4 linked regions of the Saccharomyces cerevisiae S288C genome follow. Changing the gene in region 3 together with the main gene of any one other region gives a genetic interaction. Each region holds a gene or a part of one and is shown on either strand. Other genes may lie near its edges.

The links.
Region 1: mutations in GYP1 (region 3) and CSG2 together harm fitness more than expected from each alone (negative genetic interaction), as found in Saccharomyces cerevisiae (5 studies listed by BioGRID, with this or other methods).
Region 2: mutations in GYP1 (region 3) and CPR7 are lethal when combined (synthetic lethality), as found in Saccharomyces cerevisiae (5 studies listed by BioGRID, with this or other methods).
Region 4: mutations in GYP1 (region 3) and ERG25 together harm fitness more than expected from each alone (negative genetic interaction), as found in Saccharomyces cerevisiae (5 studies listed by BioGRID).

What each region holds. Positions count from the first base shown.
Region 1 is NC_001134.8:307,759-315,550, forward strand, and holds CSG2 (mannosylinositol phosphorylceramide synthase regulatory subunit), read right to left. Parts: upstream 2,556-7,792; coding exon 1,323-2,555; downstream 1-1,322. Other genes in the region: Cu-binding protein SCO1, read right to left, coding at 2,807-3,694; chitin synthase CHS2, read left to right, coding at 4,140-7,031. UniProt on the Saccharomyces cerevisiae protein: Required for calcium regulation. May regulate calcium accumulation by a non-vacuole organelle. Also regulates the activity of CSH1 and SUR1 during mannosyl phosphorylinositol ceramide synthesis.
Region 2 is NC_001142.9:486,588-494,361, reverse strand, and holds CPR7 (peptidylprolyl isomerase CPR7), read right to left. Parts: upstream 3,282-7,774; coding exon 2,100-3,281; downstream 1-2,099. Other genes in the region: RAV1 (Rav1p), read left to right, coding at 1-1,984; Arf family guanine nucleotide exchange factor GEA1, read left to right, coding at 3,550-7,774. UniProt on the Saccharomyces cerevisiae protein: PPIases accelerate the folding of proteins. It catalyzes the cis-trans isomerization of proline imidic peptide bonds in oligopeptides. Plays a major role in negative regulation of the heat shock transcription factor (HSF).
Region 3 is NC_001147.6:455,407-463,851, reverse strand, and holds GYP1 (GTPase-activating protein GYP1), read left to right. Parts: upstream 1-6,031; coding exon 6,032-7,945; downstream 7,946-8,445. Other genes in the region: YOR072W (uncharacterized protein), read right to left, coding at 2,036-2,350; NRT1 (nicotinamide riboside transporter), read left to right, coding at 2,576-4,372; VPS5 (sorting nexin 1), read right to left, coding at 8,057-8,445. UniProt on the Saccharomyces cerevisiae protein: GTPase-activating protein (GAP) that stimulates specifically the intrinsic GTPase activity of Ypt/Rab-type GTPases YPT1 and YPT7. Functions on the Golgi as a negative regulator of YPT1. Functions on the vacuole as a negative regulator of YPT7.
Region 4 is NC_001139.9:605,930-613,704, reverse strand, and holds ERG25 (methylsterol monooxygenase), read right to left. Parts: upstream 3,142-7,775; coding exon 2,212-3,141; downstream 1-2,211. Other genes in the region: ADE6 (phosphoribosylformylglycinamidine synthase), read left to right, coding at 1-1,816; septin SPR3, read right to left, coding at 4,604-6,142; PEF1 (Pef1p), read right to left, coding at 6,562-7,569.

The sequences.
Region 1 (7,792 bases), on a different chromosome or scaffold from region 3:
CGGATTTCGGATTGATCTTTCAGTTGATAGCCTGCTGCTCTTTTCTTTTCCAAAGAATTTCGAGTATGCTGGTGTCAGTGTAGATGCTTGTGTGTGCGCAATTTGTGGTTTTTTATTGTGTTTCTACTTATAGATGGCTAAAATCTGAGTTTAGAAAATGCAAACCGTAAATTCTTAAACACTGCTATTGCATTTAGTTGCTAAAGCAGTGTTTTTGAACTTATTCCTGTTATTCCTTCTTCGTACCGATCCTCTTCTCGACCTAACCTTTTAATTACCATGGGAAGCCTACCATCACCACACCCACACACAAATGTTACAGCTAATTGTTTATTAGCAAAGTTTGCACGAGTTCGCTGTTTATTTTTTTCTCGTTTTCTTATACCTAGTATTTTTTCTGACACTGTTTAAGGTGACAGAAAAAAAGGAGTTTAAGTTAGATTTGCAAACAGACGGTGCTAAGCGCTGTCACTTTATGTCTATCTTATCGTTAACTCTGGAAAAAGAAAAAGGAAAAAGAACGTCAGGGAACATGAGTATATATAGAAATGGTTTATTCTAGTTTTTTCCGTTTTTTCAGTAGATTTTTGCCTTTAAAAGAATAAATCCCACTACAAAAAGGTAAAATAAAAAATCTATTCACTGAACTTACTGATGAAATTTCCAAATGTGCCCCGTACATCGAACGATGTGACAGAGAAAAATACGAGTAGGTAAATAAGCCAAAAGGCAAGGGTGTCCTTTCTTAAGCATCGGTTAGGTTTGCGGGCGATCAGTAACTGAACAATGACACAAGATCAAGAACGTAATTTGAGATTTTTCAAGATGGTTTTTTTAGGTATCTATTAAAACTACTTTGATGATCAATACGGTATTTTTGTCGCATTATTTTCCAAGCGGAAGGAACCGTGTGTTCATTTTATGAATCTTGGTGTTGTATTCACAGCTACTTCTCCTAATGCCTTCGATGCATTTAGATAATTTTTGGAAACATTTTTTTTCTTGATGTATATTTTTTGTATTGTAGAAATCGCGCGTACTGTACTTGTATATCGCTTTATAAGCGCTTTTAATTGATTGTTCATGACGAGGATAGGCGGATAGGCGGAGGTATGCCTCTTAATATTTATAATAAAGCCCACCAAATGGCTTCTTCTTTTTAGAATATACAATATACAAATAAAAATAAAAAAATAGAAGAACATCCTAGTAATTGTCTTGAAAATAATCAAGATATTGATTGGGATTTTTTATTTAGGGAAACCAAATAATTGCATATGCTTGTTACATCATCATCAGTCATATAAAGTATGTTGTCCGTACTAATGGTGGTATTTACCTTCCCCGAGTGTTACTGATAGGACCAACAAACTTACCGTTAGCATTATGTATCCTATGACTTCCCATCTCACAATTGTGGTTTGCGTAGGTTCGCAAACCCACTCAGCTAACCCCATAAAGATAATAGCTCCCAGGTTGCACGTCGTCAAATACTCAGCAGGGGCCTTGCGATTCAACTCTAATATCGAAATCAAGCTCGGCAAGGAACCAAAGATAATCGAGCCTAGTAGAGAGAACCAAAAGCTCTTGTCATTATAGAACAACGAAATGGATTCCACAGACTCACGGGAGGGAAATTTAGGAATAAATGGCAAAAGTATTACCATGCCAATAATACCGATTAGGGCCATGTGGGTGCTCTGCTTAACCAAGACTACAGCAGAATTTTCGTTCTTGGAAATGTTACTGCAAAACCAACGGTTCCATAACACGGCAAAAGGACCCATAATCAAAGCACCAAGGCCGCAAATCAGAGCACCTTTCAACCTATCAAACAAGAATGGGTCAGAAAGTTCACCCGTGTTAGGGTTGACGGACAGCTTTCCGGCAAGCATGTCACAGGTAGCCTTCGTGTATGAGATGATCAAAATTCCAATGACCGCGTTCATCATGATGAGGAAATTACGGAAAACGTAGTTCTTCCTGGAGATTCCACAAACACCATATAGTAAAGTGACAATTTCGAAAATGGCAGTATTTTGCATCAAAGCAACATCAAATGCCGGTGACAATGACAAAGCCATGTTATAAGTCAAATCAGCGACAATCATTATGAGAGCCAGCACTGTTAGCTTAGCCACATATTTGAAGGTAGCCACGGATATGATTTTTTGCTTCTGCTGTTGGGCTGGAATCCGTGGTTGAGGATCATCCAACACGTGCGAGAACGTATCGACATCTTCGTTTGTCACAGACCCGCTGTTGTTGTTGTCAAACTGAGAATTCCTGTTCGAGTCTGAGTCAGAGACAAACATCGGTCTCATCTTCTCCCAAAGTCGAGATGCAGGCACCAAGAGCAGCCACGAAGCAAAATACATAAAGGTCAGATAGAAGGTTAATGAACTTGAGTTTCCGTTGTCGCCGTTAGTTTCAGGCGTTGCAATTGTACCATTGGGCCCCACGGAGATTTCCTTTTTAGATTGTATGTTAGACAAACATTTTGTTTGAATCACGTAGCCTATTACACTTGAAAACCAAAGTAGTGTGGTAGACATGACGCTGTATCTTTGTTTGTTATCGTGCTAACTCACCAGCTCAAGAGCGGATCTGTTCTGGAAGAAAATGGCCTACAAACATTTCTTTCACTTGATCTTCCCACGTTCACATAGCCTCCTTTAGAGTGAGAGAGCTTTTTTTTTTCTTGCGATACACCTTCGCCGGGTGATAGCCGATATTACAAGAACGGGTTATAGCGTTATAAGTATATATGTATATACAAGGAAGAAAGTAGCATATATTTACAATCTTATTTGAATAAGAAGGAGTACCATGCCTCCTTCTGCTTGGCGCGCTGCTCTGCAGGCACATAACTCTTAACGTGTTCCACGATCTTGTCCACGCCCGTTTTTTCATCATAATTTCTACCCAAAGCATCAACAAACTGTCCTTCAGGGTCCATGAGATAAAAGAAGATGGAATGGTCTACCAAATAATCTTGGCCCGGTTTGACGTTTGGAGGCGTAGAAAAGTATACTCTGTACTTCTTGCATGCGTTCTTCACCTCATCGAACGTCCCCGTCAAACCCAGGATGGAGGGATGAAAGTCGCTCAAATACTCTTTCAATACAGCAGGGGAGTCTCTTGCTGGATCACAAGTTATAAATAATGGCTGCAGAGTAATACCATACTTTGAAGAGAGTGTATTAAGCCATAGACCTAGCTTATCCAGTTCATCAGGACAGATGTCAGGACAGTTACTAAACCCAAAGTATATTATAGAAAACTTACCGAGAAGGTTTTTCTCCGTAAACTCATTGCCATACATATCCTCCAGATGGAAGGGTCCCCCAAGTGAAGGTTTACCGTATCCTCTGTTTGCTTCAGCCTCCTTCTGTGTTTCCAATCTGCGTTTCTCCCTGTTGAAGAAATAAGAAAGTGCCCCACCGACTGCTAGGAATAGAGCAATGGCCTTTCCCGTGGAAAACTCGATCGAGCCTTCTCGCACTTTGCCGTTATCCTTAATGGGAGTACCGCCCACAGGTACTCTGCTTAATGGTTTCTTGCCATTTGACTGCCATAAGCGCGTTACAGTAAAGAATCCCCTTTGAGTGAGCAATTTAGCGCCATTGCCACTTAATCTTGCGGCTGGCAATTGGACCAATCTTAGATTGGCACTTCTTGACAACTTCAGCATCTTTTCTACGTTTGCTGTTTTTTCTGTTTCCCTTGCCTTATACGAACATACGTTTCTAATGCCGATTATAAACACAATAGACACAATTATACTATTTTCTCACTTTTCTCTTCGGGAGATCGCTATTGATTATTATTCCCGTTTATTTCCTTCAATTTAGGGTCTGAAAAGAAGATAGTAGGGTTAGTTTTTTGGGGTTTAAAACCCTAGTATAAACCCCTATACTATTTGTTTATATATTTCCTATTTGAGTATGATAGCATCGATATTGAAATTTACAGAACTTCAATTTAGTTTCAATTGGGAATTCGAGGACTCTCCCTTGGGATGGCCCCAGTCTATTTAACTATCTTCCATAATATTACTGTTGATTTCGTGACTCAGAAGAGAAAACAGAGGAAGTTACATATAGACCCAAATAAAAACCAAAGAACCACATATAGAAATGACGAGAAACCCGTTTATGGTGGAACCTTCGAATGGCTCTCCTAATAGACGTGGTGCTTCAAACCTCTCCAAATTTTACGCAAACGCTAACAGCAACTCTCGGTGGGCTAATCCCAGTGAGGAGAGTTTGGAGGATAGCTATGACCAATCTAACGTTTTCCAAGGCCTTCCGGCATCTCCTTCGAGAGCTGCACTAAGATACTCCCCAGACCGTCGCCATAGAACTCAATTTTACCGCGATAGTGCCCATAACTCTCCAGTTGCTCCGAACAGGTATGCTGCTAATCTACAAGAGTCTCCCAAAAGAGCAGGCGAGGCTGTCATACATCTAAGTGAGGGGAGTAACCTTTACCCCCGCGATAATGCAGATCTACCGGTAGACCCCTACCATCTATCACCCCAGCAACAGCCCAGTAACAATCTGTTTGGAAGTGGCAGATTGTATTCTCAAAGCTCGAAATACACGATGTCTACTACTTCCACAACGGCTCCCTCTCTGGCAGAAGCAGACGATGAAAAGGAAAAATACCTCACTTCGACTACTTCCTATGATGATCAGTCTACAATTTTCTCTGCAGACACTTTCAATGAAACAAAATTTGAACTGAACCATCCAACAAGACAGCAGTATGTAAGACGTGCCAATTCTGAGAGTAAGAGAAGAATGGTCTCAGACTTGCCTCCCCCAAGCAAGAAGAAGGCACTATTGAAACTAGACAACCCGATACCAAAAGGTCTGTTGGATACTTTGCCTCGTAGGAACTCCCCTGAGTTTACGGAAATGAGATATACAGCCTGCACTGTGGAACCTGACGATTTTTTGAGAGAAGGTTACACTTTGAGATTCGCAGAGATGAACAGAGAATGTCAAATTGCCATTTGTATTACCATGTACAATGAAGATAAATATTCATTGGCAAGAACCATCCACTCCATTATGAAGAATGTTGCTCATCTTTGTAAGCGTGAAAAATCTCATGTTTGGGGCCCCAATGGCTGGAAGAAAGTCTCTGTAATTCTGATTAGTGACGGTAGAGCAAAAGTCAACCAAGGGTCTCTCGACTATTTAGCTGCTTTGGGTGTTTATCAAGAAGATATGGCCAAGGCGTCTGTGAATGGTGATCCGGTAAAAGCGCACATTTTTGAATTGACAACTCAGGTCTCTATCAACGCCGATCTGGATTATGTTTCAAAGGACATTGTTCCTGTGCAATTGGTTTTTTGTCTAAAAGAAGAAAATAAGAAAAAGATCAATTCCCATCGTTGGCTATTCAACGCGTTTTGTCCCGTTTTGCAACCTACTGTAGTTACTTTGGTTGATGTCGGTACACGTTTAAACAATACAGCAATTTACAGGTTATGGAAGGTTTTTGATATGGATTCAAATGTGGCTGGTGCGGCTGGTCAGATTAAGACTATGAAGGGGAAGTGGGGACTGAAACTTTTCAATCCATTAGTTGCATCGCAAAATTTTGAATATAAGATCTCGAATATTTTAGATAAACCATTAGAAAGTGTTTTTGGTTATATCTCTGTTCTTCCTGGTGCCCTGTCCGCATATAGGTATAGAGCCTTAAAAAATCATGAAGATGGCACTGGCCCTCTCAGATCGTATTTCCTTGGTGAAACTCAAGAAGGCAGAGACCATGATGTTTTCACTGCAAATATGTACTTGGCTGAAGATAGAATTCTTTGTTGGGAATTGGTCGCCAAGCGAGATGCAAAATGGGTTCTAAAATATGTTAAGGAAGCCACTGGTGAAACGGATGTTCCCGAAGACGTTTCTGAATTTATTTCTCAAAGAAGACGTTGGTTAAATGGTGCAATGTTTGCCGCAATTTATGCTCAATTGCATTTCTACCAAATTTGGAAAACTAAACATTCTGTTGTACGCAAGTTCTTTCTTCATGTTGAATTCCTTTATCAATTTATTCAGATGCTTTTTTCCTGGTTTTCTATTGCAAATTTCGTTCTTACCTTTTATTATTTAGCAGGATCAATGAATTTAGTTATTAAACATGGTGAGGCCTTATTCATTTTTTTTAAATACCTGATCTTTTGTGACTTGGCAAGTTTATTCATTATTTCCATGGGTAATAGACCCCAGGGCGCGAAACATTTATTCATTACCTCCATGGTTATACTGTCTATATGTGCCACATATTCTCTAATTTGTGGGTTTGTTTTTGCTTTCAAGTCGTTAGCTTCTGGAACGGAATCCCACAAAATATTTGTCGACATCGTTATCTCATTGCTCTCCACCTATGGCCTATACTTTTTCTCATCACTGATGTACCTAGATCCTTGGCACATGTTTACATCATCCATACAATACTTTTTGACACTTCCCGCCTTTACGTGTACTTTACAGATTTTTGCCTTCTGTAATACACACGACGTTTCCTGGGGTACTAAAGGTTCCACACAGGAGTCCAAGCAATTGTCCAAGGCCATTGTCGTTCAAGGTCCAGATGGGAAACAGATTGTGGAAACAGATTGGCCTCAGGAAGTTGATAAGAAGTTTTTGGAAATAAAAAGTCGTTTGAAAGAACCAGAATTTGAAGAATCAAGCGGCAATGAAAAACAATCCAAGAATGATTATTATAGAGATATAAGAACCAGAATTGTGATGATTTGGATGCTATCAAATCTAATACTGATCATGTCTATAATTCAAGTCTTTACACCACAAGATACTGACAATGGTTATTTGATATTCATTTTATGGTCTGTGGCCGCTTTAGCTGCCTTTAGGGTGGTTGGTTCCATGGCCTTTTTGTTCATGAAATACTTGCGTATAATAGTGAGTTACAGAAATAAAGTTGAAGGTAGCGGCTCATGGGAAGTCTCTAAATTAGACTTACCAAATGTTTTCCACAAAAAGGGCTAATGCCAGTATTTTTCAGCTAATTTCTCGTCATTCCCTCTTTTTTCTCATTCTGTTTTAGAATGTACAGGTTATGACAACCATTACCTTCTAGGATATTTTGACATTTCTCTCTTAGACTTTTTATATATAATATACATGTTTCAATACCAAATATAATGTAGCATAACATAATCTATCTTTTTACTCATAGACCTTTACTTTCCTCTCTAAAAGCCGTGTCGCAGTAACTGGTGACGCTAAAGTTCTCCGGCGTTTTTTTATGTATGAGCTGGGCATCAAGAGCTTTTGAGATTTTCCAAGTAGTAACTCATCTTTCTGAGTGTGCTATCAAATACATACTAAGGAGAATAAACTCTTGTTATTACGTATTCTTCATCCTTATGGGTAGAGAGCGCACTGTTTTAGTACATTTTCTAGACGTCGAAACGTAGAGCAATTGTCGATAAAACAAAAAAAAAGTAAGAAGATATATGAATAGGAGCTGTCGCTAGAACTAGTAAGTATATGATGGAGATATAATAAGTGAATTATTCGATATTTAATGAACGTTCTCATTTATTTGGAAGAAATGTTTATCACGTGATGGAGAACCAATGAGCGGCGAGTAACTACGCGAGGAACCCGGACCGCAATAACGATTAAAGAAGGCCCGGAAGGGAGATGCTTAAATGATTATCACTCAGTTAAAAAAGACAAATAAGAAACTATTGAGACTGAACCGTTTTGGTTAATTTCAGGTGGAAACAATTGAAGACGAGCAG
Region 2 (7,774 bases), on a different chromosome or scaffold from region 3:
TAATATAGGTGACTCCGTATGGATGAAAAATGGCACGTTTGTTGTTGCTTCCGGAAATCAATTTTACATCAAGGATAAATCTCTGGATTTGACTGATCCATTTACGTACCAATCAATTGGTTCAAGAAAAATTTTATCAAATGATATTCTCCATTTAAGTAGTGTTTTAAATGGTCCACTTCCAGTTTATCATCCACAATTTTTGATTCAAGCCATTTATGCGAATAAGTTACAACTTGTCAAGGAGCTGTTATTAAGATTGTTTTTAGCGTTAAGAAAATTAGACTTTGAATCGCAAGATGTATCTAATTTGGATTCCAATCTAGGAATGGATCCATTAAAGTACTTTATTGCTAAAGATAGAGACTATCCGGTCGAATCTTTCCCTGATCCATACCCCTGTTTCAATAAGACAGTGTCTCTAGCACTTACTGAGCAACTAACGAAAACAACTTTGCCTTATCTAACCCGCCACCAGCAGATCACGCTTATCACAGTCATTGAAGCAGTGGATGAAGTCACCAAAAATGAGAATATAGTAGATTACAACGGTGTTAGGTTCTTGTTGGGCGTGAAGTTATTTTTATCACATAAAAATATTCAAAAAAGCATATTGATGAGGGATGTGTCTTGGGCATTGCACTCAGACAATAAAGAAATATTATTATCTTCTATTGACCGCCACATAACCTCATGGAATCGCGCTCGAGAATATAGAATAGCCTATTGGATTAAGGAGCAGGACTTGGTGAAGAAATTCGAGGATATTGCAAAATATGAATTTTCCAAAGATGATAAGAGGGATCCAAGCCGTTGTGCTATTTTTTATCTTGCGTTGAAGAAAAAACAGATACTATTGAGCTTGTGGAAGATGGCTATTGGTCATCCTGAGCAGCAAAAGATGGTTAGATTTATCAGTAATGATTTCACTGTACCGAGGTGGAGAACGGCAGCACTCAAAAATGCTTTTGTTCTGCTAAGTAAGCATAGATATATGGATGCAGCAGTTTTCTTTCTCTTAACTGACTCTCTAAAAGATTGTGTCAACGTTCTTTGCAAGCAAGTGCATGATATGGATTTGGCAATCGGTGTATGTCGTGTTTATGAAGGTGATAATGGACCCGTGTTGGGAGAGCTATTGACAGCGCAAATGCTACCTGAAACAATAAAGGAGAATGATAGATGGAAAGCAAGTTTCATTTACTGGAAATTGAGAAAGCAGGAAGTGGCTATTAAAGCTTTGCTGACTGCTCCGATTGATTTAGAAAACAACTCAAGCATTGTTGATAAGGAAGTCTGTGTTAACAGATCATTCCTTGTTGAAGACCCTGCTTTGCTCTATCTATACAATCACCTGAGAAACAGAAACTTGAAGTATTTCATTGGATCTCTAAATGTTGAAGCAAAAATCGAGTGTACTCTGATCTTAAGAGTTACTGATATTCTTTGCCGAATGGGTTGCAATTACCTGGCGGTTTCACTTGTGAAGAATTGGAAGTTCATCGAAAGAAATTCCATACCAGTTCAGAAGCTATTAAAGAGCCCCACCAAGGATAGAGCATATTCTGCTATTGGCGCCATGGCGTCTGAACCAATTTCTACTGCTAGGATGAGGCCCAGTCTTTTTGATAAGTTTGGCTCGCCAAGTGCTTCAGATATAGAGTCACCTAATCCAAAGTTACCAAATAGCTTATTAGACGACTTCTTGCAACCACCACCAAATAGCACTTCTTCAAATTCCCTCGCTCAAAGTTCTTCTTCTGCACCTAGAAGTATACTGGATGAGTTCGTCTCTCCTTCATATTCTCAGCATAAAGAGAATTTAACTCCAAAAGCGCCAAACGACTCTGTGGGTGAAACAGACAACTCAGAAAATAGGAAAGATAAACTCTCTAAGGACATATTAGATGATCTTTCATCACAAAAGCCACAGAAGCCAAAAAAATCTGCTATTACCAAGAACTTACTAGATGACTTTGTATGATATCATATTTTTTATCAAATAAATGGATTTATAAATAAAAATAATTACATCTTATTAATGTAGTGTTTTCATATTGGGTTATTTAATCTCAAATTTCAGCCTTACAAGTAACTAATTAGGAGAAAAACTTTGATATATTCTTTCTTGTCTTTTCCTTATTCTCTTCTATGAGCCTATTGACATATTCTATTCTTTGTTCTATAACTTCGTCATCGGGATTTTTCTCTTTACAAAAAATATAATCTTGTAAAGCTTCGTCTAGTCTCTTTTTTTTTAAGTAACTGTTACCTCTTCTATAATAAGCCTTTGCTTGATCTCTGTTAGGAACGTTATCCATCTCCAATAAATACGTAGCATACATGATAGCATCATCGTATCTTTCCAGATTAAAGAGCACCAAAGATAAATTTAGGTAAATTTTCATCTTTAGGTTAATAAATTGGATGTTTCTTTCTTTGTCTACGTCGGGTTCAGGCATGTATTCATTGATATAATTTAAAGATTTTCTGTATTTGAAAAAGGCATTAGAGTAATCCTTTTTCTTAAATAAGAGCGTCCCAGATTCTTTGATTATATTAGCAGCCTCAAGAGCCTTACCAAAATCATCGTCACCGAAATGTGTATCATCGTCTGGATATTCTTCGTATACGTCACCGCCAATTTGGTCATTAGAAGCGTTGTAAAGCGGGACACCCATAGTTTTTTCCCACACTCCACAGTCGCTGATTCTAACGTCTGATTCAGGGACTCCATCAGAATCTACCCTGCAGTTTTCTATAGTGCGAACCACTGATTTTCCATGAACCACCTGCCCAAAAATAGAATGCTTGCCGTTCAAATGAGGTGCGGCGTATGTAGTTATGAAAAACTGGGAATTGTTCGTATTTGGAGAACCTAAATTGGCCATACCTAAGGTAAAGGGTTCTACAAACTCTCCCAAGTTTTCGTCTTCAAAATTCCCGTAACAGAAAGATTCATCATCGGTTTTCACTTCCTCTTTATCAGCGTAAATTGAACATCCACCTTTTCCAACAGACGATGAAGAGGAATCCTTTTGTGTCCCAAAGACAATGTCACCTGCCTGGATCATAAAATTCTTAACGACTCTATGAAAACCATTTCCCTTATAGCTCAGGTACTGTTGATCCTTCAAAGGACTCTTAACATCACCAGCGCATAACTTATAAAAATTCTCTGTTGTTTTAGGAGCCTTCTCACGAAAAAGTTTGCAGACAATACGACCAATTGGTTTTTTATCAATGGAGATGTCTAAATATACAAGGGGATCTTGAATCATCGCGTTGGATGTAGGTTGTTGCTGCCGAACACCTTTCAGAATAACGACTTTTTTTTTCTTTGCAGTTTCTCATTTTTATGATTTTCTAATCACTTCATCACTCAGCGCATTGGAAAAAAAACAATATATAGATCTCTTTGTTTACATGTTGGAACTAAGACCTTTTAATATGGATACTTTACACAGAGAATTGAACCATCTTAGTTAAGTTAATTCGCAACTTTGGTAAGAAGCGCCCAGGTTTAACTAATACGGCTTCATATACAAAATGCACGACGTGCCAATGGAAACTGTTTTGGCCGTGAACCCAGCTACGATGATTGTCAAAGAGTGCATCAATCTTTGTTCTGCCATGAACAAGCAGTCCAGAGATAAATCACAAACAAGTGTGGCCGCGTTGCTGGGCGGAGGTAGTGATATATTCTTGAGTCAAAGTGATTCGTTTGTTGACAGCTTCCACAATTTGCCTACTTCTAGCTATCATGATCCTCTGATATCTGGTTTAGTACAGCTGCGGCTAAAAATTAACGACTTGAAGGGTTTAGATTCATTAAACGCCTTGGAACTTTTGAAACCATTTTTAGAAATAGTCAGCGCTAGTTCAGTATCGGGTTATACTACTTCTCTGGCTCTGGACTCGTTGCAGAAAGTTTTTACACTAAAAATCATAAACAAAACATTTAATGATATTCAAATTGCCGTTAGGGAAACCGTTGTTGCGCTTACACATTGTAGATTTGAAGCTTCAAAGCAAATTTCGGACGACTCTGTTTTATTAAAAGTTGTAACATTACTACGCGATATTATAACCTCTTCCTTTGGAGACTATCTCTCCGATACTATAATCTACGATGTTTTACAAACGACACTTTCCTTGGCATGTAATACGCAGAGAAGCGAGGTTTTGAGGAAAACGGCTGAAGTTACAATTGCAGGGATAACCGTTAAACTATTTACAAAGTTGAAGTTACTAGATCCACCTACAAAAACAGAAAAATATATCAATGATGAAAGTTACACCGACAATAATTTGAAGGATGACATTATAGGTACGACTACCTCTGATAACGATTTGAGTAGCACTGATGATGACAGTGCTGTTGCAGACGATAATAAAAATGAGAAGCCAGTCCAACAGGTCATAAGGGAACAGGAAAATGATGAGGAAACGGCTGAGAAAGCCGAAAATGTCGAGCCAAATTACGGAATAACAGTTATAAAGGATTATCTTGGATTATTGTTATCACTGGTTATGCCAGAGAATAGAATGAAGCACACAACTTCGGCCATGAAATTATCTCTACAGTTAATCAATGCAGCCATTGAAATATCCGGTGACAAATTTCCTCTATATCCCCGGTTATTCAGCTTAATTTCTGATCCAATATTTAAAAGTGTTTTATTCATTATACAAAGTTCTACCCAGTATTCTCTTTTGCAAGCAACTTTACAATTATTCACGAGTTTGGTTGTGATATTGGGTGATTATTTGCCTATGCAGATTGAACTGACTTTAAGGAGAATATTCGAAATTCTAGAGGATACCACAATCAGTGGTGACGTTAGTAAGCAAAAACCACCTGCAATCAGGGAATTAATTATTGAACAACTTTCAATACTGTGGATTCACTCTCCCGCTTTCTTTTTGCAACTTTTTGTAAATTTCGATTGTAATTTGGATAGGTCGGATCTTTCGATTGACTTTATAAAAGAGCTAACTAAATTTTCTTTACCAGCGGCGGCCGTTAATACCTCTAACAACATTCCTCCAATTTGCCTAGAAGGTGTACTTTCGCTTATTGAAAATATATACAATGATCTGCAGAGATTTGATAGGGCAGAATTCGTAAAAAATCAGAAAGAAATTGATATTTTGAAACAGAGAGACAGAAAGACTGAATTCATATTATGCGTTGAAACATTTAATGAAAAGGCAAAGAAAGGCATTCAAATGTTAATTGAAAAAGGATTCATTGATTCGGATTCTAATAGAGACATTGCTTCATTTTTGTTTCTCAATAACGGACGTTTAAATAAGAAAACCATCGGTCTATTACTTTGTGATCCGAAAAAAACTTCATTGTTAAAAGAATTTATAGATCTATTCGATTTTAAAGGGTTAAGGGTTGATGAAGCGATCAGAATTTTGCTGACGAAATTCAGATTACCAGGGGAATCTCAACAGATTGAAAGAATCGTTGAAGCATTTTCATCAAAATATTCTGCTGATCAAAGCAATGATAAAGTGGAGTTAGAGGATAAAAAAGCAGGAAAAAATGGCTCAGAGTCAATGACAGAAGATGACATCATTCATGTACAGCCTGATGCAGACTCTGTGTTTGTGTTAAGTTATTCGATAATCATGTTAAATACCGATTCACATAACCCGCAGGTTAAAGACCATATGACTTTTGATGACTACTCTAACAATTTACGAGGATGCTACAATGGAAAAGATTTTCCTCGTTGGTATTTGCATAAAATTTACACGTCCATCAAAGTTAAGGAAATAGTAATGCCTGAAGAACATCATGGAAATGAAAGGTGGTTTGAAGATGCCTGGAATAACTTAATATCCTCAACATCTGTGATGACAGAGATGCAAAGAGATTTCACAAACCCTATTTCTAAGTTAGCGCAAATAGACATACTTCAGTATGAGAAAGCAATTTTCTCAAATGTTAGAGATATTATCCTGAAGACTTTATTCAAAATATTCACAGTTGCTTCCAGTGATCAAATATCATTACGTATCTTGGACGCCATTAGTAAGTGTACATTTATCAACTATTACTTTTCTTTTGACCAGTCATATAATGATACTGTACTTCATCTGGGAGAAATGACAACATTGGCACAAAGTAGCGCAAAAGCGGTGGAGCTAGATGTTGACAGTATTCCTTTGGTCGAGATATTCGTCGAAGACACTGGGTCGAAGATATCCGTTAGTAACCAGAGTATAAGACTTGGACAAAACTTTAAGGCTCAGTTATGTACCGTATTGTACTTTCAAATCATTAAAGAAATAAGTGATCCTAGCATTGTTTCTACCAGACTATGGAACCAGATTGTGCAACTCATTTTGAAATTATTCGAGAATTTATTGATGGAACCTAATTTACCATTTTTTACAAACTTTCATTCACTCTTGAAACTTCCTGAACTACCATTGCCAGATCCAGATATATCGATCCGCAAGGCAAAGATGAGCAGAAGCCTTCTGTCTACTTTCGCCTCTTACTTGAAAGGCGATGAAGAACCTTCGGAAGAAGACATCGATTTTTCCATTAAAGCATTTGAGTGCGTTAAGGCTAGCCATCCTCTCAGTTCAGTCTTTGAGAACAATCAACTCGTCAGTCCTAAGATGATTGAAACTCTTCTCTCTTCACTTGTGATTGAAAAAACGAGTGAAAATTCGCCCTATTTCGAACAAGAACTTCTCTTTTTGTTGGAAATATCCATTATATTAATATCAGAGGCTTCTTATGGACAAGAATTTGGAGCACTAATTGCTGATCATATGATTAATATTTCGAATTTAGATGGCCTTTCCAAGGAGGCTATTGCAAGACTTGCCTCGTATAAAATGTTTTTGGTTTCGAGATTTGATAATCCACGGGACATTTTAAGTGATTTAATAGAACACGACTTTTTGGTAAAAAATGAAATCTTCAATACTAAATATTATGAAAGTGAATGGGGGAAGCAAGTAATAAATGATCTGTTTACACATCTCAATGACGTAAAATACAATGAGCGGGCTCTCAAAAATGTAAAATTTTGGAATTTTTTAAGGATATTAATATCAGCCAAAGACCGCCAATTTGCCGTCTACACATTTTTGGAAAAATACATTCAAAATGGTGATATCTTTGTAGATGATGGGAACTTTATGAACATATTAAGTCTGCTTGATGAAATGTCATGTGCAGGTGCCGTTGGCACAAAATGGGAACAAAATTATGAAAATTCAGTCGAGGATGGGTGTGAAGCACCTGAATCCAATCCATACCGTTCTATTATTGATCTTTCTAGTCGTTCCATTAATATAACTGCAGACCTACTTTCGACTGTTGGGAGGAGTAATTCAGCACTCAACAAGAATGAGATTATAGCTGCTATTCAAGGTCTCGCCCATCAATGCCTCAATCCCTGTGACGAACTAGGTATGCAAGCATTGCAAGCATTAGAGAACATTCTGTTATCTCGAGCAAGTCAACTACGTACGGAAAAAGTTGCGGTGGATAACCTACTAGAGACAGGATTATTACCGATTTTTGAGTTGGATGAAATCCAAGATGTCAAGATGAAACGAATTACTAGCATTTTATCCGTTCTTTCTAAAATCTTCTTGGGTCAACTTGTGGAAGGCGTAACAAGTAACGAAACTTTTTTGAGAGTGCTTAACGTATTTAACAAGTATGTAGATGATCCTACGGTGGAAAGGCAGTTGCAAGAGTTGATTATTTCTAAGAGGGAAATCGAGAAGGAGT
Region 3 (8,445 bases):
ACCCCAATGAAACCATAATCATGTAAATGCTTGAAAATTCCGGGCATACTATCCTCTTCCTCAATAACCCAATCGAAGTAGAGTGCTAGTTGTGCACTATGTCCTTGCTGCTCATTAAATAAATTTACTGACAGTTTGGTGGAATTTCTTTGTTCGATCAGATAGTACTGTTAGGTATTTGTTGACATTTACTTCCCTATCACATCAGACCACTGTTTCTCCTTCCTTTTTGCCATCTTCTTACCTATTATATGATAATATAGTTCAAAAGGAAATACCAGTCAATGAATGATAATTGGCTCTTACTCCAACCGTTCTTAATCTGGACCAGTAATTGTTCTTATGGTGAAAAAGTATGGTGACGTCTTTACTTTTAAAAATATTTTTAACAGTTGAAGGAGCTCCCCGTGTACATCTTGCCAGATCTTCAAGAGAAATGTCACCAAATAAATTATGAAATTAAAGTACAGCGGTAGTGATAAAAACGATCATCAAGTAGTGCCATCCGATATTTCGTGTCAATTTCCAAGCTCATGATTTATGACATACAGGATTTTCAAGAATATTAAATCTTGTTCCTGAGGAATTTTTGATAAATCCAATAAATAGTAAATAATAAGAAAAAAGACAGAACAACAACGTTTTGGTGGGAGAAAGGCCACTTCTCTGACCAGACTAGAGTACTAATATTTACGACAAATATACTGAGACCGTGACCAATGGTAGAAGGTGATTGGCTTGAAAGAAATGCCAACATTAAAGCACATATCACTGCTCTTGATATCAGTAGAGTTGCAAAAAAATTATACTACTAAAATCAGCTCAACGGCAAGAAGTTACTAAGCACAGCAGAAATTCTGGAGCTAAAGAGAATAATATACATACAAGACTGACTGAAAACTCTGTTTTCCACATGCAGTGGACTCAAAATATTCAGTTGAAGAAGCAAGCACAAAATTGGATCAACCCGTCGCGTCGCGGCCGCTGCTGCAGGCGACAAATCCACTGGCAAATTGTACGCGGCCTCGTTACTCCTACTTGAAAACAGAAGTAACAACAACAAATTCAAGTTTCTACGAAATGGGTCTCATGACGACAAGGTGCGCCCCCCTATCTACCTTGTTGTAAGTCTGGGACCTGGGGCTAATTTCTCATCCCCGGAAACAAAAGTATACAACTACGTGGCTAAAAATTTTTTAGTATGCAGCACATAGGATGCCAAGGAGCAATTTTTAACCCTGGCAATCTGAGCTACTGAACGGCCGCCTCAGGACTCATAGTTCTCTATATATAATTTCTCCATGTTTCTCCTTGTGCCTGGTGGAAAATATCAAGTAGTTGCCGCGACATAAAATGAATGCCTCGTAGACACCGCGAAGCCGGAATGAAGGCGGACACTACGGCACCGCCTCAAACCCAACGGCCGAGAGCGAGTTCATCTCCCTCATAGATGCGAACGGCATTGGCACTGACGCCATCATTGTAGAACATATAGACAAGATTAAAATGCGTAATCACATCATGAATGGGAAGTTAGGTGCGGTCCACTACCCTGGGGGCCTCACTGGGGACGTCATCACCCCCAAAGCACCTCAATAAGTCCATAAATAAATATATAAAAATTACTGAATAATAATAAAAAAAATAAATTAGTTCAGTCTAAAGAAATGGAAGCAAAAACCTCAAAAAAAAAATTTTTTTACGAAGACTATGCTTCCAAGACTGACGTCTTAGAGGCATAGTCGAGAAGAAAAGGAATTACTGGCACAGAACGACAAGAAATATCGTGTCGGCGCCAAGGCATCTATGTAACTACGTCTTGTGATCACCGGTATAGCTGGGACTATTCCGTTTCATCATATGATCTGGCCGTCTGCGCTTGTACATTCTGGGCGCCAGGCGTAAATGACCAGAGTAATGTCTTGCTGTAGTCGTCCGTCGCCACAGAAGCGCGTGGACGCATGATCGCGCGCAGCGACCGGTCGGTTCGCAAGACGGTTGGCAATAGGAGTTTCCTGCTGACCGCCTTATTAATTTATATGAAAGAGGAGAATTTGTCATCGGGCTTTCGAATGAAATAAAACAGCTCCTTTAAGTAATGGAACTGGAAGAAGGAAGAGAATAAACGACAGAATTTTCGTGCTCGGAGCGAACACCGCGCCGGGTTACGAACAACAGTGGCCACTACTATAATAGTTATGGAGTAGACGTCAGAATATATAGCGCAGGCGTCAGAGTATAGCGCGGGCGTCAGGATATAGTGTGCCAATGTAGCGTGGTTGCATGCAGCTAGCTTTTTAGTTGAGTCAGACCTGCTCCAAAAAAAGAGGAACACAACTTTCGTCAGCATGTGTTGCTACCGCTATTTGTTCTTCGGGGAAAAAAATTTGCATTCGCTATTGTAGTTTTAATTTTCCTTCTCTATTCTCATAAATAGAGTTAAAATCTTATAAACTCCAGAATTATCAAGAACAATTACCTATATTATTTCCTATTGCAGAATTTATATTATTCTTTATTGTACTGATATCCCCATTATAACTATCAAAAAAAGGACTTCAGCACCTGTATCATCATGAGCTTCAGTAGTATAGTCTCTAAGTTTTTGAGATATTTAGAAATTCCTGCCAAAAATAGGACTGCCGTGAATTTTCTGAGGAACCCTGATTTGCAACCTATCAAGTCTGCAAATCAAACATGGGGGTTCTGGTCTAATTTGGCGTACTGGGGCGCTGTGTCCTTTACAGCAGGTACATGGATGAGTGGTTCTGCTGCACTAAGTGTCGGCCTAAGTTACCCAGAGACCATTGTTTCGTTTCTTCTCGGTAATGTCTTGACCATTATTTTCACTATGGCCAACTCTTACCCCGGTTATGATTGGAAAATCGGTTTCACCTTGGCCCAAAGATTCGTTTTTGGCATTTACGGTTCAGCCTTCGGTATCATCATTAGAATTTTGATGAGTATTGTCAATTATGGTTCCAACGCTTGGTTGGGTGGTCTATCTATCAACATGATATTAGATTCCTGGTCCCACCACTATCTGCACCTGCCCAATACTTTGTCCCCAAGTGTTGCCATGACCACCAAGCAGTTGGTCGGCTTCATTATTTTCCACGTCCTCACCGCGCTCTGCTATTTCATGAAACCCTACCATATGAACTACCTTTTAATTTGGTCATGTGTAGCTACTTGCTTTGCCATGCTGGGTATAGTGATTTACTTGACTAAGAATGCCCATGGTGTCGGTGAATTGTTTACCTCCACAAAATCTACCGTTACTGGTTCTAAAAGAGCATGGGCTTGGGTTTACATGATTTCATACTGGTTCGGTTCCATTTCTCCAGGTTCCACCAACCAAAGTGACTATTCAAGATTCGGTTCCTCCAATTTGGCTATCTGGACCGGTAGCGTCTGTGCATTACTAATCCCAGCAACCTTGGTCCCAATCTTCGGTGTCATTAGTGCCTCCACCTGCGACAAATTATACGGTAAACAATTTTGGATGCCCATGGATATATTCGATTATTGGTTGACAAACAACTATTCTGCAGGCGCTCGCGCAGGTGCCTTCTTCTGTGGTCTTTGCTTTACCATGTCTCAAATGTCCTCCACCATCTCCAACTGTGGGTTTGCCACTGGTATGGATATGGCCGGTTTGTTGCCCAAATACGTCGATATCAAGAGAGGTGCTCTTTTTTGCGCATGTATCTCCTGGGCTTGTTTGCCATGGAACTTCTACAACTCTTCTTCTACTTTCTTAACTGTCATGAGTTCTTTCGGTGTTGTCATGACTCCTATTATTGCTGTCATGATCTGTGATAACTTTCTGATCAGGAAGAGGCAATATTCCATTACTAATGCCTTTATTCTAAAGGGTGAATACTATTTTACCAAGGGTGTCAACTGGAGAGCTATCGTTGCCTGGGTGTGTGGTATGGCTCCCGGTCTACCTGGTATCGCTTGGGAAGTCAACAATAACTATTTCCACGACTCAGGTATTGTTAAATTCTTTTATGGTGATTCTTTCTTCTCCTTTTTGATTTCTTTTTTCGTTTACTGGGGGCTATGTGTCTTCTTCCCATTCAAAATTACTGTTAGACATGATGACAAAGATTACTATGGTGCATTTACCGACGAAGAAGCGAGAAAGAAGGGCATGATTCCATACAGTGAAATTTCTGAGGAAGAAATCCGTGCTTACACGTTAGGCGAATGCTACACAACTGGACACGAATACAAACCTGAGAGTTCTGATAACGAATCACCTGAATTGATCAAAACTAGCTCAGAAAACACTAACGTATTTGAAATCGTTCACCAAAAGGATGATGAAAAGCACTCCTTTAGTACCACTCAACAAGTTGTCTGATGACAAAGAATCCGATAAAATGAAGATCTCAAATATACAAAGAGGAAACTTCAACGCTTCATTTGAAAATCTGTACAGATCTTACAATTTGGGAATACTACCAGATCGATCCTCAGCTGCAAATACTTTACTGTCAAGTATGTCTATGGTGACAAATATCGGCATTATTGTGTATGGCTCAATAATTTTATAAAAAAAGGAACTATTGGTTCTTAGTATTTTCTTGCTAGAAGACATATTCTTACCAATCCTTTCATAAGCTAATTATGCCATCCATATAGCAAGAGAATCCGGTGGGGGCGCCATGCCTATCCGGCGGCAACATTATTACTCTGGTATACGGGCGTAACTCCATAATATGCCACCACTTACCTTTAACATGTTCATGGTAGGTACCCCACCCAGCCATAAGGAAATTTTCAAAGGCGTTGGATCAAAAAATAGGCCTTTATTTCATCGCGTGATTGAGGAGCATAACATGTTTAGTGAAGGTTTCTTTTGGAAAACTTCAGTCGCTCATTATTAGAACCAGGGAGGTCCAGGCTTTGCTGGTGGGAGAGAAAGCTTATGAAGCTGGGGTTGCAGATTTGTCGATTGGTCGCCAGTACACAGTTTTAAAAAGTCAGAGAATGTAGAGAAGTATGGATCTTTGAAACCCTTTTATTTTATTTTACTTTTTTTAGAATGACCTGTTCCCGACACTATGTAAGATCTAGCTTTTAACATATTATGGAAACCTGAAATGTAAAATCTGAATTTTTGTATATGTGTTTATATTTGGGTAGTTCTTTTGAGGAAAGCATGCATAGACTTGCTGTACGAACTTTATGTGACTTGTAGTGACGCTGTTTCATGAGACTTTAGCCCTTTGAACATATTATCATATCTCAGCTTGAAATACTATAGATTTACTTTTGCAGCCATTTCTTGGTGCTCCAAGGTTGTGCGTATCTATTACTTAATTTCTGTCCTTGCCAAGTTTTGCAGCAGGGCGGTCACAAGACTCCTCTGCCGTCATTCCTTAGTCCTTCGGGAACACACTTATTTATGTATTTGTATTCTACAATTCTACGGTGCACAAGGGTTGGGCACTGTTGAGCTCAGCACGCAACTATTGCTGGCATGAAGATAAGATTGATTTTTGGAAGAATAAGCTTGTGGAAGTTACCTGTCTCTTATTTTTTTTTCCTTTTTGCACTTTTTTTTGGTGATCACTTAGGTAACAATCTATAACACAGCAGTATGAACCCACTAGTTAACCATTCTGCGCCGATGGTATACCTTTTTCATTGCTTAATTGTCTGTGAGAGGCTTGATAAGCTAAGGCTCATGGCGATAAATCCACGATGAACTCGTTTAATGCAAAATATAGGTCGCGGCTTGCCGGGTACCAAGTCGCAACAAAGCTCCCCGAATTGTTTCGCCCATTCATCTGACAGGACAGAATGCCAAACATATGATGCATGATGCAGCAAAGAGCACAGTAATCACTATTTTCTGCATATCATATAGCCAGATTGCTATAGTGTTTGGCTTTTGTCCTGCTGTTAATTGTTTTGTTTTCTTTCTATTTTTATAACTATTATTGGAGAGTAGATCAAGGATACAAATAACAACAACAACCACCAATACCGACCACTTAATAAAAGTAACCATATAATGGGTGTGAGATCCGCTGCAAAGGAAATGCACGAACGGGACCATAATTCGGACAGTTCCAGTTTAGTAACTTCCCTGATGAAATCTTGGAGGATATCGTCGGCTTCTTCCTCCAAGAAGCCATCGTTATACAAAATGAATACTACTGAATCTACTAGTTTACCCTCGGGTTATGCTTCCTCGGCAGATAGAGATCGGAGAACCAGTGACGGTAATTTTGAAGCTATGGCAAAGCAACAAGCAAGCACTAGACGTACCTCGAATTCCTATTCACCTCTACGATATGTAAACCCCACTCTAAGCACTGCAAGTAACGAAAGTCCCCGGCCTGCTTTACTCTTACGTCAGCATCACCAGCGTCATCACCACCATCAACAACCCCGCCATAGCAGTAGTGGTAGTGTAGGCAACAATTGCAGTAACAGTACAGAGCCTAACAAAAAGGGTGATCGATATTTCAAAGACTTAGATGAGGATTGGAGTGCTGTTATTGACGATTATAATATGCCTATTCCTATACTTACTAACGGTGGATTTGGTACACCTGTAGCTCCAACGAGAACTTTGTCGCGAAAATCCACTTCTTCTTCCATCAATTCGATTTCGAATATGGGGACCTCCGCAGTACGGAATTCTTCCTCCTCTTTTACATACCCTCAATTACCACAGCTGCAAAAAGAGAAAACAAATGATTCCAAGAAAACTCAGTTGGAAATCGAAAACGAACGGGATGTTCAAGAATTAAACTCCATCATCCAGCGCATTTCTAAATTTGACAATATTTTGAAAGATAAGACAATCATAAATCAACAGGATCTGCGCCAGATCAGTTGGAATGGTATCCCAAAAATACACAGGCCTGTTGTTTGGAAATTATTAATAGGTTATTTGCCTGTGAACACCAAGAGACAGGAGGGTTTCTTACAAAGGAAGAGGAAAGAATATAGGGATAGTCTGAAACATACCTTTTCTGACCAGCACTCAAGAGATATCCCAACTTGGCATCAGATAGAGATAGATATACCGAGAACAAATCCCCACATTCCCCTCTACCAGTTCAAATCCGTACAGAACAGTTTACAACGAATACTATATCTTTGGGCAATCAGGCATCCTGCTAGCGGATATGTGCAAGGTATTAATGATTTAGTTACACCATTTTTCGAGACTTTTCTTACCGAATATCTGCCGCCTTCACAAATAGATGATGTAGAGATAAAGGACCCCTCTACTTATATGGTAGATGAACAGATTACAGATTTAGAAGCGGACACGTTTTGGTGTCTTACCAAATTGCTCGAACAAATTACCGATAACTATATTCACGGACAACCAGGCATATTAAGACAAGTGAAGAATTTGAGTCAGCTAGTGAAACGAATTGATGCTGATCTATATAACCATTTTCAAAATGAACATGTGGAGTTTATACAGTTTGCATTCAGATGGATGAATTGCCTTTTGATGAGAGAATTTCAAATGGGTACAGTAATAAGGATGTGGGACACATATTTATCTGAAACTTCACAAGAGGTCACTTCTTCTTATTCTATGTCGTCCAATGACATTAAACCTCCTGTTACTCCAACAGAACCTCGAGTGGCAAGTTTTGTTACACCAACAAAAGATTTCCAATCTCCCACCACAGCTCTTTCTAATATGACACCAAACAATGCTGTTGAAGACAGTGGAAAAATGAGACAGTCTTCGTTGAATGAGTTTCATGTGTTTGTTTGTGCTGCATTCCTCATCAAGTGGAGTGACCAGCTAATGGAAATGGATTTCCAAGAAACTATAACTTTCTTACAGAACCCTCCTACAAAGGACTGGACTGAAACGGATATTGAAATGCTTCTGAGCGAAGCCTTTATTTGGCAATCTCTTTACAAAGATGCTACGTCGCACTGGCTGTAAACGGACCTATTCATTTTACTTACTGTATAGTATGTAATAATATAAAACAAAAATCTCCTAATTCATAAATCCTGAGGAACGTGACACATAAAGTTATTGTATACAGATCATCTAAAGATTGGTTTGGTAGAATGTCTCCCAAAGCTCGATGCATTCTTTTTGAGATTCAATGGCCGCTTCTAGTGATATTTCCATGCCGTTTCGGAATTCCCGAATTTTATCAGTAGAGAAACCTTGGAATTCATCTTTTATTTTATCTCCTACCGCTTGCCATTGTTTTTTTGTAAGGTTATACCTTCTCTCCAATGTTTGAAATTCCTTTCTCATTTCTCTGAATTTTTCTGAATGAATATTTTGACCCAATTTGCCCAATTGTGAGTGTTTCTTATTCATGTCATTTTCTATTACTACCAAGAAATACCCCAATTTGGATCTCTGATTGAAAATTGCTTTTACGCTTGCCAATGACCTAATATAGTCGTCCAGCATCACACCCATCG
Region 4 (7,775 bases), on a different chromosome or scaffold from region 3:
TTCCGCTAAATTATCTGTGGCAGAATCTTTATTGAACATATTCGCTGCTGATGTGAAATCTTTAAATCATATCAAGCTATCTGCTAACTGGATGTCTCCAGCCTCTCATCAAGGTGAGGGTTCTAAGTTATATGAAGCCGTTCAAGCATTAGGTCTGGATTTATGTCCTGCATTAGGTGTTGCTATCCCTGTTGGTAAGGATTCCATGTCCATGAAGATGAAATGGGATGATAAGGAAGTTACTGCACCATTGTCATTGAATATCACAGCATTTGCACCAGTTTTCAACACTAGTAAAACGTGGACTCCATTGCTAAATAGAAACACAGATGATTCTGTCCTTGTCTTGGTTGATCTATCAGCTAAACAAGAGACTAAGTCACTAGGTGCCTCTGCTTTGTTGCAAGTTTACAACCAAGTTGGTAACAAGTCGCCTACTGTGTATGATAACGCCATTTTGAAGGGTTTCTTGGAAAGTTTAATCCAATTGCATCAACAAAAGGAGGATATAGTGCTTGCCTACCATGATAGGTCTGATGGTGGTCTACTAATCACTTTACTGGAAATGGCATTTGCTTCCAGATGCGGCTTAGAAATCAACATTGACGGTGGAGACCTAGAAAGTCAATTAACAAACCTATTCAATGAAGAATTAGGTGCAGTATTCCAGATTTCTGCTAAGAACTTGAGCAAGTTCGAAAAAATCTTGAACGAGAACGGAGTTGCTAAAGAATATATTTCTATTGTTGGTAAGCCATCCTTCCAAAGCCAGGAAATCAAGATTATTAACTCCACAACAAATGATGTAATTTACGCCAATTCGAGATCTGAATTGGAGCAAACTTGGAGTAAGACATCTTACGAAATGCAGAAATTGAGAGACAATCCAAAAACAGCCGAAGAAGAGTTTGCCAGTATCACGGACGATAGAGATCCCGGTTTGCAGTATGCCCTAACATACAACCCAGCCGATGATATGAAGATCGGATTAGAATTATCCAGTCAAAGGCCAAAGGTTGCTATCTTAAGAGAGCAAGGTGTGAACGGTCAAATGGAAATGGCATGGTGCTTCCAACAAGCTGGATTCAACTCAGTGGATGTCACTATGACAGATTTGCTAGAAGGTAGGTTCCATTTGGATGACTTCATCGGTCTTGCCGCATGTGGTGGTTTCTCTTATGGTGATGTCTTAGGTGCAGGTGCGGGTTGGGCTAAATCCGTATTGTATCACGAAGGTGTGCGCTCGCAATTTTCTAAGTTCTTCAATGAAAGACAAGATACATTTGCTTTTGGTGCTTGTAATGGTTGTCAATTCTTGAGTAGATTAAAAGATATCATACCCGGGTGTGAAAACTGGCCAAGTTTCGAAAGAAATGTTAGTGAACAATATGAAGCCCGTGTATGTATGGTGCAAATATCTCAAGAAAAGGACAATTCTAGCGAGGAATCTGTTTTCTTGAATGGCATGGCAGGATCCAAATTGCCAATTGCTGTCGCACATGGTGAAGGTAAAGCAACATTTTCTAAAAGCGCTGAACAACTGGAAAAGTTCGAAAAGGATGGTTTATGTTGTATAAGGTATGTGGACAACTACGGTAACGTCACCGAAAGGTTCCCCTTCAACCCCAATGGGTCGACCAATGGTATTGCCGGTATCAAGTCACCAAATGGTAGAGTGCTTGCCATGATGCCACATCCTGAAAGAGTTTGCAGATTGGAGGCCAATTCCTGGTATCCAGAGGGCAAATACGAAGAGTGGGGTGGATACGGTCCATGGATTAGATTATTCAGATCTGCCAGAAGATGGGTCGGTTGAAAGATTTTTGTAGTTTTTGTATATGTAGTTTTTAAGTTTGAATAATAATTAGAAAGAAGCTGTCTTTTATTTATAGCATTTAATAATGGGTTTGCTTGTTAAAAATTTATCATAAATAGTATGTATATATATATATATATATATGGATATGTATACGTGGTAATGAACGTGTATACATATATTTAAAAGATTGCAATATAGTTTTTAGAATTAACCTGAATTAATTTAAAAATCATATATTAAAATAAACAATTGTGAAGGTAAAAAGAAAGAGTTAGGGGAGGTCAAACAAAGTAAAAAAAAAAAAAAGGAAAAAAAGCGGTTCGAAATTTATTTCATTTTATACGTTTTTTTGTTGTTTTTCTTTTTTTTTTTTTTGAAGTATGTTTCTTCTCTTAGTTAGTCTTCTTTTGAGCATTGTTTTCAGCTCTCTTCTTCATTCTTTCTTCTCTGGAGGCCTTAGCTTCTGGACCAGATTCAGTGTCTAGACAGTAATCCCACCATCTGAAAGAGGAAGCGTAGTTACCAATAAAGTAGTGATGATGCAAATCGTGGTGTTCAGCGCCAGCCCAGAATGGCATGATCTTGTTCAAAGACCATGGGAAGTCATAACCAGAATGAGAGTCAACAGCTTGGAATAATCTTAGGGTGATCCATACACATAGAGTGAACAAGTGTAATTTACCAGTGTACATGACGTAAAGAATTGGCATACCAACGGTACCAAAACCCAAAGACAAAGTTTCAGCAGGATGAGCATATTCAGCAGAAAGACCGAATGGAGCAGCGTATCTGTGATGTTGCTTGTGAATGTACTTGTAGAAGACACCGTAGTGGAATAGACGGTGAGCCCAGTAATGCCATGTATCTTCCAAGACGAAGAATAGACCAATTTCTAGAGCCATTGTTTTCAAAGATGGGAATGGAACTTCGACAGTAATACCTAATTTTTCACACATTGGGTGGAAGGTCCAGATAGGGATGGCCTCGACCAAGAAATGAGATAGAAGAACGGATTTCAAACAGTATAGTTGTTCCTTAGCACTTGGAATCTTAGTTGGTTGTAACTTCCATCTTCTAAAGTATGGAATTTGGTCGATGATGAACCATGGCAAACATCTAAAGAAATACATAAATTCATGCAATAAAAAGAACATTAGACCGGTGGCCAAAACATCATTGTTCATGTAACTGTACCATGCGGCCCAGTATTTCTCCATGAAATTCAATTGAGGTTGGTAATGGGCGACATTTTGCAAAGTTTGTGAGTAGGTGCTTGCTTGGACTAGACCTGAAAGGGTAGCGTTGTTGAAAACGGCAGACATCTTTTCCTCTTTTTTTTATGGCTGTACTACTTTTCCTTAGTCCTCTATGCTACTATCTAAAGAGAAAAAGTTACAACTAATATAAAGATTTACTGGAAGGAAAGAAACGAAGAGAGAGAAAAAAGGGAGAGAAGAAGAGAAGAAGAAAAAAAAGAATAGATCCTCCTGTATTATATATTATATAGAAGTATGCATACACAGGCGTACGCATACAAGAAAATGTACATGCATAACGGATTAATCGTGTGTATATAGTTTAAACTGCGCAGAGAATGAATAATAATAATACGACCACAGCAGAGGCGAGGCAAGCAAGAAAAAAAAAATTGGTGGGAAAGCGATGCGATACGGTGGCAAAGGGCCTCTTCCTCGACGGTTTTGTGCCAGGTGCCTTGAGGTTGCTGACTGTTATCGGTCATTGTTAGTTGCTATTGTCCTAGTGCTAGTCGTTTACCGTATACGATCTCTGTGTCCCGTATACGAAGGGAGGCAGTGGTAGTGGCAGTGGCCGTTGCGGAGCTGGCTAAACGACATCTGGGCGTAAACGACACCCGATAACTGGCTCTGCTCTTTCCTGCGAGATGGTTCTATCGGACCAAGGCCCAAACGGGTTTAAACGGCTGCCCTCCGCACCCGCACGTGACTACACCGGGTAACGAATGGATTGCGTAATATACCGATTTTTACTTTTTACACTTTTTTGTTTCCTATACGACGCGGACGAAGAGAAAGTCTTCTGCGCCAAGGCCGAAAAGAAAAATTTGAAGAAAACATTCTCAGATGCGAATCTACTTTTACATCATCTTCTACGTAGGCCCTTTTTTAGTTCCTTTTTTTTTTCTCCCTCGGTCTGTTTAATCATAGTAAAATCAGATATTGTCAAAAATTGTATTCATTGAATGGAGAGTACTTAAACTTCACATCCTAACATTAGAGATGCCAGAAAAAACATATAGGTATAAGTGAAATCATCATTATGATAAACGAGACGGATGAAAGGAGAAAAAACTGAAAAGAAAAAAAGGGCGGATTGACAATTCAAGAAAAAGGCAAAAAGTAAAGGAAGGTAACATCACTTGATATCGCACCCTTCTTTGCATTGCCTTGTGGTTACCGTACCACTCTTGCTTATGATTTTTTTTTCTTTTTGCGCGCGCTAGGCTGAAATGTAGAGGTTCAAGGTATGATAACAGCGGACAAAGGTATATGATGTCGCGCATTTGATGCCTTAAATACAATTTTTTTTTTTCCCTCCTCCGTCGAAAAAACGCTGTGAAGAATAAAAAAAAATTGTATTTTGTATTACCCGGATTTACTTTAGTCTCACATTGTATTGTTAGGGTTTTGCTACTTATGGTAAAACTGCCGCTAAAAAAATATTCATTTCTATCCTAATTGTATTTTTATTATGTAGAGCAAAGCTTGCGCGAAATTATTGGCTTTTTTTTTTTTTTAATTAATACTACCTTTTGATGTGAACGTTTACTAAAGTAGCACTATCTGTGGAATGGCTGTTGGAACTTTTTCCGATTAACAGCTTGTATTCCAAGTCCTGACATTCCAGTTGTAAGTTTTCCAACTTGTGATTCAATTGTTCAATCTCTTGGTTAAAATTCTCTTGTTCCATGAATAGGCTCTTTTTCCAGTCTCGAAATTTTGAAATTTCTCTGTTGGACAGCTCGTTGAATTTTTTCTTAGCTTCTAATTGTCTAGTTATAAATTCAGGATCCCATTCTGTAGCCACCTTATCCATGACCGTTTTATTAATTATTTCATAGCACTTGTAATTTTTGAGTTTGTTTTCCTCGATTTCATCGAAGTTCATTTCTTCCTCCAAAAATTTCCTTTGTTCTTCCGTTATGTCAACACTTTTCGTTGTTAAGCAATCTCTGGCCTTTAATAGCCTAGTTCTTAGCATTTCAGATCTGCATTTTTCATAATAATCCTCGGTACTTTCTACAAGATCAATTAAATTCCAATCAAAAATCGTCTTTTGCAAGATTTTGAAGTCACAGTACTTTTCATTTTCAATGTCAACAGCGCCCCATTTGTATTGTCTTCCTTTAACTTTTTCGCCCTTTTCATTAAAAATGTACTCATTAGATGCAATTATACTGAATGGATATTTTTGAAAAATATCTTGTGTTGCATTCAAAACTTCATCGCCGAAAAAGAAACATACAGGGATATCTTGTACTCTTATTATTTCTCTAACTTGTGTTTTGAAGTTTTTCAATTCCTCTTTCGTTAGCAAATCTGATTTAGCAATAACCGGGATTAAATTCACTCTCTTCGCTAATTTTTTCATTGTTACGACGTCTAAAGTATCAATTCCCTTATTTGAAGGTCTCAGAAAGTACAAACAACAATGGACTCTATTATCAACCATTTTTGTCCTATCAGGTTGTTCTTCTTGGAAAATGTACGATCTTATTTCTTCATCAATATAGTTAACCATTGTCCTCCACGTAAATGCATTATCCATATTGTTACCAAAACCAGGTGTATCGATGACGTTGAAATTAAGGTGTGTTCCATCTCCTTCTACAATGCTTTTATAACGAATAATAGGTTTGTTTTCTTTGATGTCATCATCAATTAAAGAAGTAGAAAATAAGGAATTGATAAACGTGGTTTTACCCAATCCACTTTGACCCGCCACCATCAGCGTAAAATCAATTCCATTTTTGGCATTCAACAACTCACGTTGACGTGGTAAGTTTTTGATACCGATGTCTTGGCCGTGTGAATTGGTGTTTATTTCTTGTGCTTTCTTGTTATCTAACAATGGAAGGTCCCTGTTCCTGCATTTACCGTTAACAAAAGAGGATGACCTCTGTCTTCTGTGTTTCAGTTCAGGGCTTTTCGGAGGATGTGAATCGACGGCGTACTGTCCTTGGGAACTTTGTCTACGTATTTTCACTTCCTCAGCGAATCCAGAGACTATCTTGGGAAATTCGACAGGACAGTCTGTTGACAACCGACTCCCTTTTGACTTCATAATAAAAATTCAATGACGCAAAAGGAATTTTAGGTTTTTATTATTTATTTATTTATTTCTGTTAATTGATCCTTTTCTTTCCACTACCAACAACAAAAAAGGGGGGAAAAAGATGTATAATCTAAAAGACACTAATCTGCTCTTGATATCCTTATTATGTAATGGAATAACTCATATAAATGTAAAATAGAACTTCAAATTAATATTATAATGATAGTCGAGGTCAGACACACTTATAATACATTAAGTAAAGAAAAAAAAATGTCTGTCATCGAGGTCTCTTTTGTGTCGCTAACAAAACATCACTAAATACGAAGACACTTTGCATGGGAAGGATGCAGCAAATGGCAAACTAACGGGCCATTGATTGGTTTACCTCTTCTATTTGTATTACGACCAGAAAGAACGAATGGTTTTCATCAATGAGGTAGGAAACGACCTAAATATAATGTAGCATCGATAAAATCTTTGTACTGTATGGTTGCAATGCCTTCTTGATTAGTATCGAATTTCCTGAATAATTTTGTTAATCTCATTAGCCAAACTAACGCCTCAACGAATTTATCAAACTTTAGTTCTTTTCCTGTTCCATTTCTGTTTATAAACTCAGCATATTGGTCAAATGTTTTCTCGCTAACTTCAAAAGGTATTAGATATCCTAGTTCTTGAAGTGAGTTATGAAATTCGCTTACAGAAATGGTGAGCGATCCGTTGATATCATTGTCCACATAAACTTTTCTCCAACTTTTCACTCTTTTGTATAGGGCGATGAATTCTGCCTGGTTGACAGTGCCAAACCTGGAAGCACCAAATAAATTTATCAGCGCATCTACTGATGATATACAAAAATGGGAGTTGTCGTCGTTTTGTAGTAAGTTCTGTAGTTCCTCAGCTGTCAGTCGGTTTTTGCCCTTTACATCATGGTTATGAAATAGCTGTGTGGCCACTTGCATGTCTCGTACATCTTCTCTGCTATCGAACGAAGCAGGTGCAACTTTCTTCAAGAGTTGTGCAGGCACTGCTTGATTGTGAATTAGGGGAGGAGGAGAGGAAGCTATCCGTTGAGCGGAAGTGTTCAAGTTGTTATAATGGGTTGGCGCTGGAGGTATAGGCCTGCCTGCTGGTTTCTGTGCGATAACATTATATCTAGGATCCACAGGTGTTTTCGTATGTCTTGGAGAATAACTTTGGGGAGAACCATAGGAGTGGTGACCGTTTTCTGCTCTGTTTTTGTTATATTGAGTTTGTAAGGGAATTGGAGCTGAGTGGACTCTAGTGTTGGGAGTTTGTGCTTGAGTAACCTTTATTTGTTGCTGTCGTTGTTTCTCTTTCTCGAATTCACGTCTAGTTTCCTCCATGGCCTCTTTAGGTGTAGCATAGCGTACAAAGTCATCGCCAGCAGCGTATTTGAGCTTCTTTGCACACATCGTTTAATGGTGTAGGTTTATAGTTATTTTATGCGGTATACGGTATACATACATGTTCAGTGAAATAGCAATTCCCATCGCTTTGTATTCCTGCGGTTTTTTTATTCGGATAGTTTCTAAATAAAAAAAATCGACAAGACCCTGAGCCAGATGACTGAAATTATCAGTTGTTAAAAGCGATGGAGCACTATCCAATATGCGTATTG